2 linked regions of the Oreochromis niloticus genome follow. The protein of the gene in region 2 purifies or fractionates together with the protein of the main gene of each other region. This does not show direct contact. Links are inferred from orthologs where the notes say so. Each region holds a gene or a part of one and is shown on either strand. Other genes may lie near its edges.

Region 1 (7,581 bases), on a different chromosome or scaffold from region 2:
TTCAGTCTCAGCTGACTGCAGGTTTCCCTAAACCTTATAAACAGTACATTTGCATAATGACTGAAACCAGCCCACTGAAGGAACAATGGGCTGTGAGGTCAGTTCCTTAATCATAATTATGCAAATTCCCATGACCATTGATCAACAATCACTGACCAAAACCCACTGATCAAAGAACACTGATCAATGGCCATGAGTACCATTCACAGAGAGTTGGGGAATGGCTGCAATCACAGCATTGTAAGATGGCGAAAGATGTACCCTTAGGCCCCCTCCTCGATTCAGAGATGGTCTTTCCCTTTTCACGTAAATGGCCTCCTTGACTCCGCGCTCAAACCAGCGTTCTTCCCTGTCCAGGATGTGTACATCCTCATCGTTGAAAGAGTGTCCACTGGCCTGTAGGTGTAAATAAACTGCAGAGTCCTGGCCTGACGAGGTAGCTCTTCTGTGTTGTGCCATCCGCTTCGCTAGAGGTTGTTTGGTTTCCCCGATGTATAAATCCTGGCAATCCTCCTGGCACTTAACAGCGTACACTATGTTACTCTGTTTGTGTCGGGGGACCCGATCCTTGGGGTGGACCAGTTTTTGGCGCAGCGTATTTTGGGGTTTAAAAGCCACAGAGACCCGGTGTTTAGAAAAAATGCGTCTCAACTGTTCCGATACTCCTGACACATACGGGATCACTACAGGTTTTCACCTGGGCAGCGGTTGTCCTTCTCTCCTGGATCGGCTGGAGCTTTCTTTAGGTGCCTTCCCAGCTTTGACAAAAGTCCAGCTAGGATATCCACATTTACTCAGGGCCTTCTTGATGTGCTGTTCTTCTGCCTCCCTGGCTGCTGTGTCAGTGGGGATGGTGTTCGCTCTGTGTTGTAGCGTCCTGATGACACCCAGTTTGTGCTCCAGTGGATGATAAGAGTCAAACCTTAGATACTGATCCGTATGCGTAGGTTTACGGTACACGTCAGCTTTTAGATGTCCCCCATTACTGATGGAAATCTCACAGTCTAAGAAGGCTAACCTGCCACTTTTCATATCCTCCCTGGTGAATTTGATGTGTCGGTCCACCGAGTTAATGTGATCCGTGAAATGTAGTACGTCCTGAGATTTGATTTTCACCCAGGTGTCATCCACATATCTGAACCAATGGCTTGGTGGTGTTCCAGGGTAGGATAGCAACGCCCTCTTTTCCACTTCTTCCATGTACAAATTGGCCACGATGGGTGAAACTGGGGAGCCCATGGCACACCCATGTTTCTGCCTGTAGAACTGACCCTTGTATGTGAAGTAGGTGGAATGAAGACACAGTTCCAAAAGCAAACACACTTGGTCGATGCTGAGAGTGGTCCTGTTGCTGAGGTTGGTGTCATCCTGTAATCTCTTACGGACTACCTCCAACGCTTCCGTGACTGGGATGCAAGTGAAGAGAGATGTAACGTCGTACGAGACCATGGTTTCATCTGCCTCCATAATGACATCTCTCACCTTCTCAACAAAATCCAGGGTCATGGGAATTTGCATTATTATGATTAAGGAACTGACCTCACAGCCCATTGTTCCTTCAGTGGGCTGGTTTCAGTCATTATGCAAATGTACTGTTTATAAGGTTTGGGGAAACCTGCAGTCAGCTGAGACTGAAGAAGTCACTTGGATGAGTGACGAAACGTTTCTCCCACAAAACGCTACGTCCAGATGAACAGATTCAACTTTTGGAGAACAATTAATATCAATAGAGAACCATGCTAAAATAGAATAAAAAGGTAAGCAAAATGTATTTATATAGAGCTTTTTATCTGTGCAAAGCAATAAATATCTAGCAGAAATCGATAAAAATATAAATACCAAAAGAATCTCAACAAAAGGCGTGATAAAGCGGAAAGGTTTTCAACTGTTTTCTTTAAAAGGATTCTACCGAATCTGCTAACAAGGGGTGAAGTATTAAATTGTTTCATTGCCTTGATGCACAGACTAAGAGGATCTGTTCTCCTATGGTCTTCGGTCTTGTATAACGGAAAACTGATAGATTTTGAGCTTGTGAGAGAAGATAGCGAACAGCTGTGCATTTAACAAGAAGTTGAGATATAATATAGTCTGGAACATGTCTGTTTAGTGCTTCAAGTGTGAGAATTTTAAAAACGTGATTCAAAATCAACCGGGAACCAATGTAAAGAGAATAAAATTGGAGTAGTGTGAGCTTGCTTGCTAGAGCATTTTGTATTGCTTGGAGGTGTAAAAGAGAAGAGATGAGCCAGTAAATAGGGTATTACAAAAATCTCGGTGCAATGACACAAATACATGACTGTAGATCACAATTTCAAAACGTTCCTTAAATGAAAAAAATGAAGGTGAAAAAGATTTTATATGTTCTTTTTTCTCAGACCGTGCAGGAGTCAACAGGATTCCTCTGGTTAAAAGAGTTTCCAACTGCTTGCTCAAAGTGAATCACTGAGGTTTTCCATCCACGATGTTCTAAAGTATACTGCTTAGACAACAAAAAGTCAGGCACTCTATAATTTCGTTGGACTACCTTTAGCTTATAATGAAGGCATGTATTCGACCTGGCGTTATTTTGATAAGCAGAATCAGACTGCTGGGTAAAGTCTTTTCCAGCACATCCCAAAGATTCTCAGTGGTAAAGGTCTGGACTCTGTGGTGGCCAATCCATGCATAAGGCTGCACAGCTGTACAGCTACACACCCCAATTCCTTCAGTTCTTTTCATTGTGTGTGTGTGTGTGTGTGTGTGTGTGTGTGTGTGTGTGTGTGTGTGTGTGAAAATGCTTTTACTATCCCTTTTAACATGGCCATGAGGTTTATTGTTGCTGTTTTTATTTAATTTCACCAGATGTTTAAGTGAAATCCAATCACGATCACTCAGGATTTTTATCCAATACCATTTCTTCCTCAAAGGTGCCGGTTCATCAATAACCTTCCAGGTTTTAACAATACAGTTAAAACCTGGACAGTTCTTAACGAGAAGCTTCTCGCTGCTTCAGTTAGGGTTAAAAAGCCAGCTGAATCATATTGATCCCTGCATAAATTCTGGTTAGTTAAATACAAGCGGTGCCTTTTGTTTTTTTTCACTGGGCGGTGTATTTAACTGAGTAATAATACTCAGATTCTGTGGGACCAATAACATAACTATGAAAAACAGTGTGAATCCAACAAGTAGATGTTGATACATATAACAGGATAACTGCTGCCTTTAATCTGTTTGTGGTGCTAGAACAAAAGTCAGAGAATCAACAGACTCATTATGATTTGACCCCTGAAGACTCTGATTTTCTTCACCAAATTTCATGGCCATGCAGCCGAAGTGGTGAGGCAACCAAACCCTAGAGCCAAAAACCACTAGCAAAACTAAAAAGTCCTTGGTGTGCCCACAGTGTTACCATGTCCATTATTATTATTATTAGTAGTAGTATTATTATAAATACAGTTATTTCCATAAATACTCCTGATAAATCGTACATTGTTTTTCTCCACACTGCACATCAAATCAGCCATAACTAAGAAGAGATAAATTCGGCAGCTGGTTGGAAGCTTTGAAGCTGAACATTGGGTGAAAACCAACATTGCACCCTGATTTAGTGCCGAACTCTCTACATTTGAACACCACAAATGTGCCAAAAACACACACACACGATTAATATAATACCCCCAAAATACCAAGAGCACTGTTAATTACACCCCCCAAAAAAGACATTTAATTAAACCTAATTGAAATGAAATGCTGTCACACTGATACGGTCTCTGTTTTTGTTTACCACATTTGCTCCAGGTCATGAGGCATCAACTCACTTTTTCCAAGTCTTATTTGCATAAAGAAATGATTCATCCATGGTATTGCTTTCTAAGTGCCAGAAGCTGATATTATTAAGTAAATGTGACTCAGGTTTTTTTTTTGGGGGGGGGTTACAAAGTGAAAAGAACGGAAAACGTTTGATTAATCTTTTTTGGAAACACAACAAGTGAGAAAGCTTGCACGGGAGTAGATTTTCATCCACGTGCGAGGTGAGGTTTTCCTCGGGCTCAGAAGCAAAATGTGCTCCGGTAGTCGCATGTGCCCTGCTGCACGTATCCAGCAGGAGGGTGTTTGTTATTGTACTGACCTACTCACGACCGACTGGATAACGCAGATTCTTGCAAAACACGTTTTCGCGTTGTTGTCGAACGAGCCCCAAAAGTCTACATGTGATCGGGGTATTGAACCTTTCAGAATACACGTTATCTCTAACAGACGTGCGCTGGCACTACACGCCCTCCCGAGCCTCCTTCCAAGCCACACCTCCTCTAAAGTGACCCAAAGTTTACCGGTTTGTTTGTTTTTTTTAAACAAACGAACTGTGCCACTGACCCCATTTCCCAAAGGCTTGATATATAAGGGTGCAGAGGACTGCTGTGAGTTTAGTTACAGACGAAGAAAAGCAGCGTTTGTTTAGAGAATATCAGTGAATAATTCAACACCTAAAAGGGGTGGAGCGTGAGATCTGCCTGGTAAACGCACATTTACCTTTAAAAAAATGAGTAATATTCTAGTTGAATATAAAGCTAAAATACAGCTGTGGTACTGTGGTAGTTAAGTCATAGTTACTACTTTTATTCCGTATGTTTTTAACCGGCTCCTCTGTCTCTTAGACTTCTTTTTTACTTTCTTGTAAACTATCATAGAGAGAATACGGGCTTTTTTTTAAAGAGCCGCTGTTTGGCGTTTCCACTTTCACTTCTGCTCTCCAGCCTCCCTGTTTGTGCGTCTGTCCCGGACGAAGTGGGCGGTGGGGTGGCGTCACGTCATATCAGCCGCCTAGCTCTGATTGGCTGCCGATTCTCACCCGACACAGCTGTGATTGTTTTCTGCAGAGGAAGCTCTCGTCGGTGGTATGAGGTCTGTGCGGTGGAATGGAGGAGCACTGTGTGTTTTTTCTCTCTCGCTCTGCGTGTGTTTGCTGACGATGATGTGAACAAACAACGTGACTGCAGTTCTCTTGTTGTAAAAGAGCAGGAAAACGAGGAGGGGGGATCCTGGCTTAAATCTGCTTGCCGAGGCGCGAATGAACAGGAGAAGAGGATTCTGCTTGGAGCTGACTCTGAAGACGTCTGGAGATCAAGGTAAGCAGCCGGAACAATTTTTTAACAATTTCTTCGATTTTTTTCTTTCAACGTGAAAACAGTGGAACTCGTGTGTTGACTGTCGCGTTTCCTTTTCTAGCTTTAAAGTGCCAAATGCCTAGGCTGGAGGAGCATTGTTGGAGCTGCTCCACTTCATCAAAGACCGAAACTAAGCACCCATCATCTGGCGCAAACTGGTTGGCATCCAGAGCTGAAGAGATGATGTCGATCATCACATCGGTGCTCAGCAGTGCCTACATCTCCCTGCACGACGTCCGAACGGCCAACCTGATCCGCCGGGGTGTCGTCCTCTTCACGGTCGGAGTGTTCCTGGCCCTGGTGCTCAACTTGCTCCAGATACAAAGAAATGTTACCCTCTTCCCCGAGGAGGTGATGACAACTTTGTTTTCGTCCGCATGGTGGATCCCACCTTGCTGCGGTACAGGAGCCGGTGAGTGAATAAAAGGCTGATTTTATAAAGCTTAGTTGGTGCTTTATAAACGACCCTGCAAGGGTAGTTTTACCCGGGTGATCAGTAGTTTGCGGCTAATTTGGGGACAAAGGAATGCAGAGAGGGGAGGAGTTAGAGCGCAACAGCCTTCCCTTATAAAGAGAAAATGACACTTTAAATAATATGTGGTGTGTTTTACCGCTTGTGTATATAAAATGGGCTCTTATGGTCAGGAAATCCCCCTTTGTGAGCTGGATTTTGCCATAAGCAGCAGAAATTTAAACCGCATACAGCAGAAGCACATCCCTTTTCTCATCACCACTGTCAGCAGCATTTGTATGATCAGATGACAATGAATCACCATTCAGTTTTGTTTTTGTTTCATATTAATTATGACTCAGTTTTGAAGGCATCATTAAGTCTGGCTGTTATCAAAAAGTAAAAAAAAAAATGGCTTGGAACGGATGTTGTTTTTTATTGCGCTCTGATTGGTCGCAGCAGCCGGACACGAGGCGAGCTGCGAGCTCATTGGATGGTGTCATAACGGGTGAGCTGAGAGGGGAGGTACTTTTAAGGCCAGAAACAGGGAAGTGAGGGAAAGAAAGAAGCGCGTAAATGCTTGGCTCCTCCCCCTCCTCTCGTCATTGCATGCTGCAGGACAGAAACAAACCAAGAAATAAGAGATGTAGGCTTATGGCTTTGCACCAGGCTTCCCGTTTTAAAGCCCCAGTGTCATGCAACAGATGAAGAAAACTGTTCTTTACTTTCCCACACCTGAAGGTGATGTCATTAAATGTCTTCTTGTGCTTTATAAATAGCCCAAGAAACAGATAATATTTCAGTTTCCACAACAAGCAACTGCCACAGATCCAGTTTCTGTCAACTATCAGTTCACCAGGACAATTGATTCAGACTCATCTGAGCATGCTATTCCTAGTAGGATTGCAGCTAAAGATTGTCAATGAGGAGTCAAATGAGGTATTTTCTCAGATAAAAGCTTCTTGGAGCCCGAATAAGGTGAAAAATATACTAACAAAAGCTAGAGGGATGAAGTAAATCCTCTGACTTAAGAGCCTGGTATTAAAAAGCATCTGGTGCTTTCTGTGAACAGTTTTGTTTTTTTAAGTGACGAATCGAATGTCAAAATGGTTTCGTATTCATTGTCCCGTGATCCAGGTAATAATTCCTGTAACTCCACTTCTTGTAAGATATCCACTGTGTATTTCCTTTTTACATTATAATAGTGTGGTTACATAGTTTCCTTCACGAATTCTTGGACTTTTAATGACAGTATGTAGAAGAAAATGATTGGTACACACAAAGCAGGGAGTTGCATTAAAAAGTCACACTTAAAAAGTAAAAGACAACTTTAAAATTAAAGCTAATGTTTATGCATATTCCTCATGTGGGGGTTTTGAAGTGCATGTACAGCAGGTGTGTCGCTAACTGTGGAAATGCACCTTCAGCAGTTTGTCTCTATGACACAGTTTGCCCTATTTTTATTTCACAGAAGTTCTGCTTATCTGGCACAATTCAAGACTGTTTGTTCCCTTTTTTGATTTTTTTTTTTGCAGCTGTTATCGGCCTGCTGTATCCCTGTCTCGACAGCCACTTGGGAGAGCCGCACAAGTTCAAGAGGGAATGGGCGAGCGTCATGAGGTGTATCGCTGTGTTCGTCGGTATCAACCACGCCAGTGTTGTATCCTTTCGCCATGTCCCGTGCAGCACTCAAATGCACTTTTGCTACTTTTGTGATACTTTGTTTGTTACAGTAGAGTGGAAAAGTACACCAGTAATTAACTGAAGTTTGGCTGCTGTCTGCATCAGCTCACTAATCTGCTTTATCCTTTTGCAAAAAGAGGTGGTGCAACTTGATGGTGGCCAAATATTTGCGTAAGAAATAATCATATGTTATCCTCGTGCTGTTTGATTTTTGTCCTTAACTTCCCGGAACACAGAAACTAGACTTCGACAACAACGTGCAGCTCTCCTTAACGCTAGCAGCCTTGTCCCTGGGTCTGTGGT
Region 2 (8,302 bases):
GGATTACAGCTGTGCAGGAATACAGTATACCGGGCACTTTATTTCAGGTTTACAGTAGTTCGGCTGCCATGATGGCAGCTCACAGTAGACTGCAGCTGATCAGCAGTTGGTTCTGTGCTGGCAATGAAGAAGATGTGTAGAAGATATAGCAGAGCCTGAGCTCTGTACTGCTATATATTAGATTTAACCAAGTCAAACCCTTTACCCCGTCTGTGCAGCTCCTCTGCATACAGCCTGTGGTTGCTCTTCATTAAGCACAACTGTAAGCTGTGTAGGGTTGTAGTCCTAGCTACAAAAAGTTAAAATCAACTGAGATAAAATGATGCAAATCAGTACATCCAGCAGCTCATCTTTGATTTAAATATTAACGTCGACTACAAAATGGAAATGTCTAAAAAGCAGAGCAGTTCTCAGTGCACTTAGATGTCTCCAAGCAATTTAGTAACTTAGCTGACAGAAAATTGTTAATATTTCTGAAAGAATCATCTAGTAATTTCTAAATGAAAGCCCACCTGTGTTTCAAAGTATGTCAAAGAAGTATTTAAAGTATGCGATACCTCGCAATGAGTCACTATGAAGATTACCAATGGACTGAAATAAATTCTTTAAAACTAATAATTGTTATTAAACTCAGTTCATGACTGTTGTAGAATTTAGGTGTTTATTATAGTTTTACATTTTGTAGGCTACAGACAGATAATCTGTTATGTAAATATTCAGCAGGATATTGAAGCTGTTGTAATTACTTGTTTTGTTATATGACTGTATTTCCAATGTGTTTCTATTGTTTGTAAGTAAAGTATCCATTACTGCTAAATGTGTTCAGTGTTACCGTATAACGTGACCTCAGAGCGTCTCTCAGCACGATGCTGGTACCAATACTGTGATGCTTTAATTACAAAGATACAATCAGTAACACTCTCTGAGTCAGTACACGTAGATAAATTCTGACCTCTTGCTCTTCAGACATCGGGGTGAATCTGACAGATCCCATGTTCAGAGGACTCTACAGAGGGAAGCAGAAACATGACGGTGAGCTACTGCTTCACTCTTATTTTCACTGTGGGGCTGTTCACATTATGTTTTTCTGAGTCTCACGTTTTCCTGACAGATGACTTCAATGAGATCATTGCCCGAGCTCTCAAAGTAGGAGTTGAAAAGGTATGCTGTGTCCATCACTTTGATGAAGCCTCATGTATTTTAATCATAGCCATGAATTCAGGGATCGCTGCGGTGTTGATTTGTTTTAAAAAAGGTAATCGTGAAATTGTGGGATGATAGAGATTTTTACAGCAACAGTTTGGCTAATAGCTGTTGGAGATGTTTATGAGGTTTAATATCCCGGACAAAACCCTCATTTATTTCATTCCCTGAAATGGGCTAGGCGATGAGGGAAAGAAGAGAAGAACAAGAACAAAAAGCCTCACCTTTATTTTAAGTACACTCAACATATAAGTCGGTATACTCTATCATGCTGAGCCTCATTATATATGCTAAAGAATTGTGGTGCAAGTAGTCAGGATGCTGATGCAGATATAAAACAATATAATATCATAGTTACTCTTTTTTGTGTATGTTGGAAATCTGTAATTTGAAAGTTATTTGTTCTCAGTTGTAATGATTGCGTGTTTTATCTGTTGCAGTTTATGATCACAGGGGGGAGCCTTGAAGACAGCAGGGAAGCTCTTAAACTAGCTGAGACCAGAGGTAATAATGACAACACGTTTTGTGCAACCAAATGATTCGTGGTCTTAAAGAATCAGCCAAACCTACCTAATGTTTTCCTCCGTGCTGGAGCGTCTCACCTTTAACAAGCTCCCTCCTTTATCACAGATGAGTTCTACTGCACGGTCGGCTGCCATCCCACCCGCTGCGGCGAGTTTGAGCAGAATGGAGAATCCCAGTATTTAACTGGGCTGAGGGAGCTGGCAGCAGCACACAGAGGAAAGGTGGTGGCCATCGGAGAGTGTGGACTGGGTGTGTGTACATGAGCACGTGTATGAATGTACATGACAGAAAGAAGTCTTCATTTACACCTTATTTATTTTTCACTCTGTGGGTTTGTGTTGTTTCTTTTCTCCTCATTTCAGATTTTGACAGGCTGGAATTTTGCCCAAAAGAAACTCAGCTCAAGTAAGTTTGTGTGATTTTCACGAGTTTTGAAAAAAGGCCTTCTAGAAGCAAATCTTGCCACTCGGCGGCCATTTTTTAAGGCCACATTTGGAATTTTAATAGTGACTGCTTAAGTTACCAGTGAAACCTGATAGATGTGCCAAAAAGTCTAAAAGCTTTTTTTCCCCTGAAGATTTCCTTCTAATAAACATGATGGTTCATTTATGACTCCACAGACTTGCGGATTGTTTCCCAGTCTGAAAAGTGAAAGTACCTTTAACCTGCTTTCTTTAGAAGTCTATACGAAAATGGCCTTTAGCTTAAATGGCCCTCATGGACTTTTGTTTCCTGTGCCTCAATTTGCTCCTTCTGGTGTGTTGCAGATACTTTGAGAAGCAGTTTGACCTGGCGGAGGAGACCAAGCTGCCCATGTTCCTCCACTGCAGGAACTCCCATCAGGAGTTCATCGGTAGGTTTGTGAAGCAGACACCTGATCTGGTTCAGGAATTTGATTTTTATGCAAAACATTTGACTGTTTTTGTTTCCACAGACATCATGAAGAGAAATCGAGACCGATGTGTTGGAGGAGTGGTAAGGATGATATGATGTCTAATATCATAGTACTTACAGAGAAGGATATGCTTTCCACATCCTGGATCCTGGAGATGCGAAAACAACCTCCGTAAAAGTGAATTATTTTGTGACAGGTTACAATACTCAATGTAAACTGAACAGAATAAAGACCTAAAATGTAAAATTCTGTGAAGTTAATACTTTTGTTGGGATAAATTCACAAACAAACCTGATTTCATCCATTAAAACTAATTTGCAAAACATTGTTTACATATTTAAAAAGCCACTGAGTCACTTTATGAATGAATCAGATCAAAATTCTTCTGCGTTATTGCTATTTTGAATTTCAGGTCCACTCGTTTGATGGAACTGCAGAAGACGCTGCTGCTCTCATAGACCTCGACCTCTATATTGGAATAAATGGATGGTGGGATAATCTGAGAAATGTTGTTCGGTTTCCTTGAACTTGACCAGAGTCACACTGAGTCTCACTTCCATATCTTTCAGTTCCTTGAAAACAGAGGCCAATATTGAAGCTATGAAGTCGATCCCCACAGAGAGGCTCATGATAGAAACAGGTGAGTCACAGTCTGTTTATTTTAAAGCTTTTGGCAGAATGTGGCCTGAGTTTGATCACACAGTGAACCTTTATATTAAAGTTCTCTTAAAGCTCTGGAGTCATTTGTTTTATATTCTTGTTGAAGCTGTATCACCAATAAGTGGGAATATATTAGATTAAAATAGGTTTATGCTCACTTTATAGAAATATTTAACTGATATTACAGTTCTTTAAATGCTACATTTATGTTATTTATGGATTTCCACCTTCCTGCTCATTTCCAGATGCCCCGTGGTGTGGTGTGAAGAACACTCATGCCGGGTCCAAATATGTTAAAACTACATTTCCCACAAAGAAGAAGTGGGAGGCAGGACACTGCCTGAAGGACCGGAATGAGCCCTGTCATATCATGTAAGTCACTAAAGGGAAAAGCTTAATAAATCCAATGGATACAATCAGACGTCGCACTGAAGCATGAATATTGTTAAACACAATAAACCTTTAATTTTAAGATTTCACTGTTTGTCTCTTGCAGACAAGTCCTGGAGGTGATGGCAGCGGCGAGGGAGGAGGATCCACTGGAGCTGGGCAACACAATCTACAACAACACTGTCAAAGTCTTCTTCCGCTCAAGCTGATAATAAGTGACATCATCAGACTCACCGATGTGTCATTAATATTCTTTTATGAATCGGTTTGTGCGCCTCAGGACAAACCACTTATACTGTTATATTATTTGTGTTTACAGTCCTCTGTTAATGCAAAATAAACATAATTTTTTTTCATAAGGAACATATCAGTTATTGTGTTTAGAAAAACATAAATGTTAATGAGTTTATTCAAACCACACAAAAAGCTTTGATGTTTGTGATTGTTTAAGTACCCCTACAGTGCTTTTGCTTCAGATCATCAAACAAGTTTTAATATTATACTAAAGTAACCCAAGCAAATGCAGACTTTTCAAATCTTAATTTATTAATAGAAAAAGTTATACAAAACCTAATAAACTGGCTGTGCCAACATTTGCAGCAAGAGCTAAAATCAGCCGTTTTCGGTACCTGGCGATGAGTCTTTGGTTAAATGTTCTTTGCAAAGTTATTTTAATTCAGTCGGCTTGTTTTTGAGTCATGCTGAAGTCCATCAAAAGCATGCTCAGAGGTTTGTTTTTTTTAGTCATGCAGAGGTGGACTTGCTGGTGTGTCACTATCATTGTGCTGCTGCATAACTTGAGCGCTCTTGAACTTGAAAGAAATTCTGATAGACAACAGAATTTATGATTCTACCAGTTACGGCAAGTCATCCAGGTCCAGAAGCAGCAAAGCAGCCCCAGACCATCACACTACCGCCACCACGTTTGACTGTTGGTATGACCTTTTTATGAAAAGCTGTCTTAGTTTTATGCCAGATGTAACAGCATTTGTACCTTTCAAAAAGTTCAACTTTTCTCCGTCCATAGAATATTTTCCACAACTTTTGGGGATCCTCAAGATGTTTTGAAATCCCAAAGTCTGTGAAATGTTTGTTTAAATCAAATACGATAAGACACAAATAATTTAATAAGGTATAAAACTAACCTGAAATCTAAATGCAGTAAACTGAAATATATTTAATATACTTTTATAATGGTATTATTATTATATTAAATGTTATATTTTATTTATGGGTGTCTATACCAGCATACCATCATCTGAAAGCAAAATAACGTCTACATTAAAACGTGTAACAAAGAGTACACAGTAAAAATGACGTGTAATTTTATAGTTTGTAGAAATGTTACGTCAGCTGCCACGCCCACCGACGCCACGACGCGATACGTCGTACCATCCTGGCAACTTCTTTGGTTATTAAAAAAAAGAAGTCCAGTGGCGCTTTCACAGCACTGACAAACGGACATTTAGAGATGCCTTCATAGGTTTTGTGACAGCGGACAGCTCCGGGTCTGATGGGGGTCGTGAAGTTTAACGGCTGCCGGCTGTCGGCTGTAACACGGAGGGTGGGAGCGTTTTAACCCGGAGAAGCAACAGGAGGTTGAGGTGGACGAACATGGCGGACAGATGCAGGCTTGCAGCTGCCGAATAAGCGTTGGGCAAAGCGAAACTGAAGACGAAGGACGGCTGCCGGGTGACTCGTCACGTATCTCACCGTTACATGGATAGCCGGGTCTCTTCAGGACTATAAAAGCCCTCCACCAAAGCCGTATGGCGTCTACTCAAGCCCGGATAGGCCAGCAGGCCTTGGTGGTGCTGGATGTGGCTCTGCGAGTTCCATGTATTTTTATTATCGACGCCATTTTTAACTCTTACTACGACCCTGGCTCGGGAATGGCCGGGGCGATGGGGAAGGTGTTGGTCAGAGTCATGGGTAAGTATTTTTAACATGAAGGAGCCCATAAGTTTCCCTCAGCAACAACGAGCTAGCCGCGTTAGCCTTGACATTAGTCCGCTGTGTGGAGCTGTGTCACCTGTCAGACCGGCTAAAGCCGATTAAGCGACCAGCAATAACATTTACACAGGACAGATCCGTCTGACACGCTGCTTAACTGCTTCACCTCGACCCTAATTTACTCTCCTCTGGCGCCAGCAGCTCGCAAGCTAACTAGCTAGCTAACGTCAAGGTGTGTTGTCACAAGTGTGATTTGTGGTGTCGCGGATGGCCTCAGAGGCACCTTGAACACAGATGAATCATATTCAGGTCCTTCTTCCTGACAAAGCTCGCTACTTCTCCTCCTCTAACTGTACTCAGAGAGCTGCTCTCTGGTCTGAACTCTGCAGGAGTTTCAGAGTACCTGTGACGTTATATCAGCGTGTGTTGACCTGGTGTCCCACTTTATGCACATCATTTGTATGCCTTGGCACTTGTCATATTTTCGGACAGGGGAATTACATTCTGGACTAGTGTTGTGTAATTACCAGAGCTGCTACTAACAAAAATCTGTTTCACTTTTTATTTATTGATTGAATAAGTCTGTAGCCTGACTAACTTTGAGTTTCCTCTACACACCGTAATTCATAAAAGCTCATCGTTTTCATCACTCTGACAGAGTAAAGCTTCTCTGTGTTGAGTCAACAAACAAGTTATGTAACTCAGTTTTCCAGTTTGCAGACCTTTGAGCAGCTCGGGCCGTCTGAAAGTGTTAGCCAAGAGCTCTGGGTTTGGATGGACAGGAAGTGAGATTAGCTGTTGGGTTTGCTTCTGTACCCGTCTTTCTTTATGTTTAGTACAGGAACAGAGACTCCATAGTGCCAGATGTTTGAACTAACATTATATTAAAGCAGTAAGGCTCACGTTGGTTGAGGTCCTCTACAGTATGTACAATCAGTTTATCATAGTGTTATCAAATGCACACGTAGCATTACATGGACTGTGAAAGGCATTTCTTTGTTTGTTTGTTTTTGTTATGCGTGGTATTTGTCTGGCCTAATTGTTATGAAAAATCAAGGAGTGTAACAGTTTGTCTAGCTGCTTGTTCAGCCTTTTACTTATCAGGATTACTCAACTCTATGCTGATTATTTTTGCTCCAAAATTCATTAATGTGCAGCATCTGGTGTTTTCTCACAAAGACTGATCTAACTACTCACTATAATCAAACAAACTTGGAAGCTACAGTTAGCTGACATTTGACATTTGTTCAGTTTGCAGTGAGAAATATTTACCTTTCCTGTCTTTCTGACTGCTTCTCCGGTGTGTTCCAGGTGTCCTCATCTCCACTGTGGTGCTGCTGCTTTCTCAGAAAGCCTTGTTTAAGTTCTACACTCTATTCTTTGCTGTCCTCCTTGGCATGGCAGCAGTCCTCATAAACTACTACGCCACCTCCCACATGGACTTCTACAATGCCTACTACAAAGCAGCCTTGGGCTTCAGGTTGCTGCCTAGAAACGGGCCGACGCTGTGGCTGGGCATGGCCGCCGTCCAGCTCGTCTTTGGGATTGGCTATGTGTTTTTGCTTAACCTCCAGTCGGTGTTTGCTGCGCTGGTGGTCCTGGACATCATGATTCCTCTGTGGGGGCTGATGATTGAACTTCCTGCAGATGTCAGGCATCTGGTGGCAATGTTCTCGGGCCTGGTGCTGGCTCTCAGTACGGCCGTTTGCCTCGCCACAAGGCTCAAATGGTTCTACTATTCATGCCGGTACGTCTACCTGCTCGTACGGCACATGTACAGGATCTATGGACTCCAGCTGCTGCTGGAAGACACGTGGAAGAGGATCAGGTTCCCTGATGTGCTTCGAGTGTTCTGGCTGACCCGGGTAACAGCCCAGGCACTGATACTGGTTTACGTGGTGCAGGCGGTGGGGAGAGAGAGCGGAGATGCCACAGGTGGAGCTGCAGATGGGAGCTCTGATGCACAGGTAAATGCTTTTACATAAAAAAAACTTCACTTCTAGGACATGTTTGCTATATGATGGTCACTTTAGTGTCCAGTAGGACTGTAAAGCAAGGTAAGCTAACAAGTTGTTAGCCACAGTGAATTGATATTTGGTTAATGACATTATTAAGTCTTTGACATATCATGTTTACAAAAGTCATATATTTGTTTGGGGAAAGAAGTTTTCCTTTTGCAGCCCCAGGCGCCCCTGTTGGATTTCCGTAATTATATCTAAATATTAACTCCTGTGTGTTTAAAAATATCTCCGAAAGCCTAAAATGTATGTAGGTGACCTCTACAGGTTTCCTGTGTACTGTAGCCAAGTAAAGTCCAGCTGGCACATTAGCTCTTTGCAGTGTTTTACAGGTATATTATGCTGGTATTTGTGTGTGTATACACAGAAATTTCAATGTGAAATATGCTTTTAATAATTTATAAACAGTGTCTGATGTCTGAAGAGCAGTTAAAAATTATGCACACTACATAACAAGGTCATAATTCTTTAACAACCTCATTTCTACTGAAGATGCTTCTTCATGTTCTGTGCTGCTGTTAATAATAAAGTCTCACCTAAAAAGTCTGCAGAGTCTGAACTGAAGCTAAAAGGGATTATGAGTAAAGGTGACGCGTGTACCTGTGTGACTGCACCGTTTTCAGGGTTACCTGCTGAGCTGGGATGTGTTCTGGGATCT

The links. Proteins that work in one complex are often made in the same cells at the same time.
Region 1: the proteins of rnf139 (region 2) and insig1 purify together in Homo sapiens (affinity purification with western blotting, with the first as the bait; 3 studies listed by BioGRID). This does not show direct contact. The link is inferred for Oreochromis niloticus from reciprocal best matches to the Homo sapiens genes RNF139 and INSIG1.

What each region holds. Positions count from the first base shown.
Region 1 is NC_031974.2:16,865,319-16,872,899, reverse strand, and holds the start of insig1 (insulin-induced gene 1 protein), read left to right. Parts: upstream 1-4,370; 5' UTR 4,371-4,493; intron 4,494-4,733; 5' UTR 4,734-4,876; coding exon 4,877-4,881; exon of another isoform or gene 4,882-4,908; intron 4,909-4,993; exon of another isoform or gene 4,994-4,998; coding exon 4,999-5,105; intron 5,106-5,205; coding exon 5,206-5,556; intron 5,557-7,130; coding exon 7,131-7,255; intron 7,256-7,514; coding exon 7,515-7,581. UniProt on the Homo sapiens protein: Oxysterol-binding protein that mediates feedback control of cholesterol synthesis by controlling both endoplasmic reticulum to Golgi transport of SCAP and degradation of HMGCR.
Region 2 is NC_031985.2:2,280,241-2,288,542, forward strand, and holds the start of rnf139 (E3 ubiquitin-protein ligase RNF139), read left to right. Parts: upstream 1-5,079; 5' UTR 5,080-5,442; coding exon 5,443-5,605; intron 5,606-6,937; coding exon 6,938-7,593; intron 7,594-8,267; coding exon 8,268-8,302. Other genes in the region: deoxyribonuclease TATDN1, read left to right, coding at 967-1,032, 1,112-1,161, 1,644-1,707, 1,834-1,977, 2,091-2,133, 2,496-2,581, 2,663-2,703, 3,036-3,139 and 3 more. UniProt on the Homo sapiens protein: E3-ubiquitin ligase; acts as a negative regulator of cell proliferation through mechanisms involving G2/M arrest and cell death.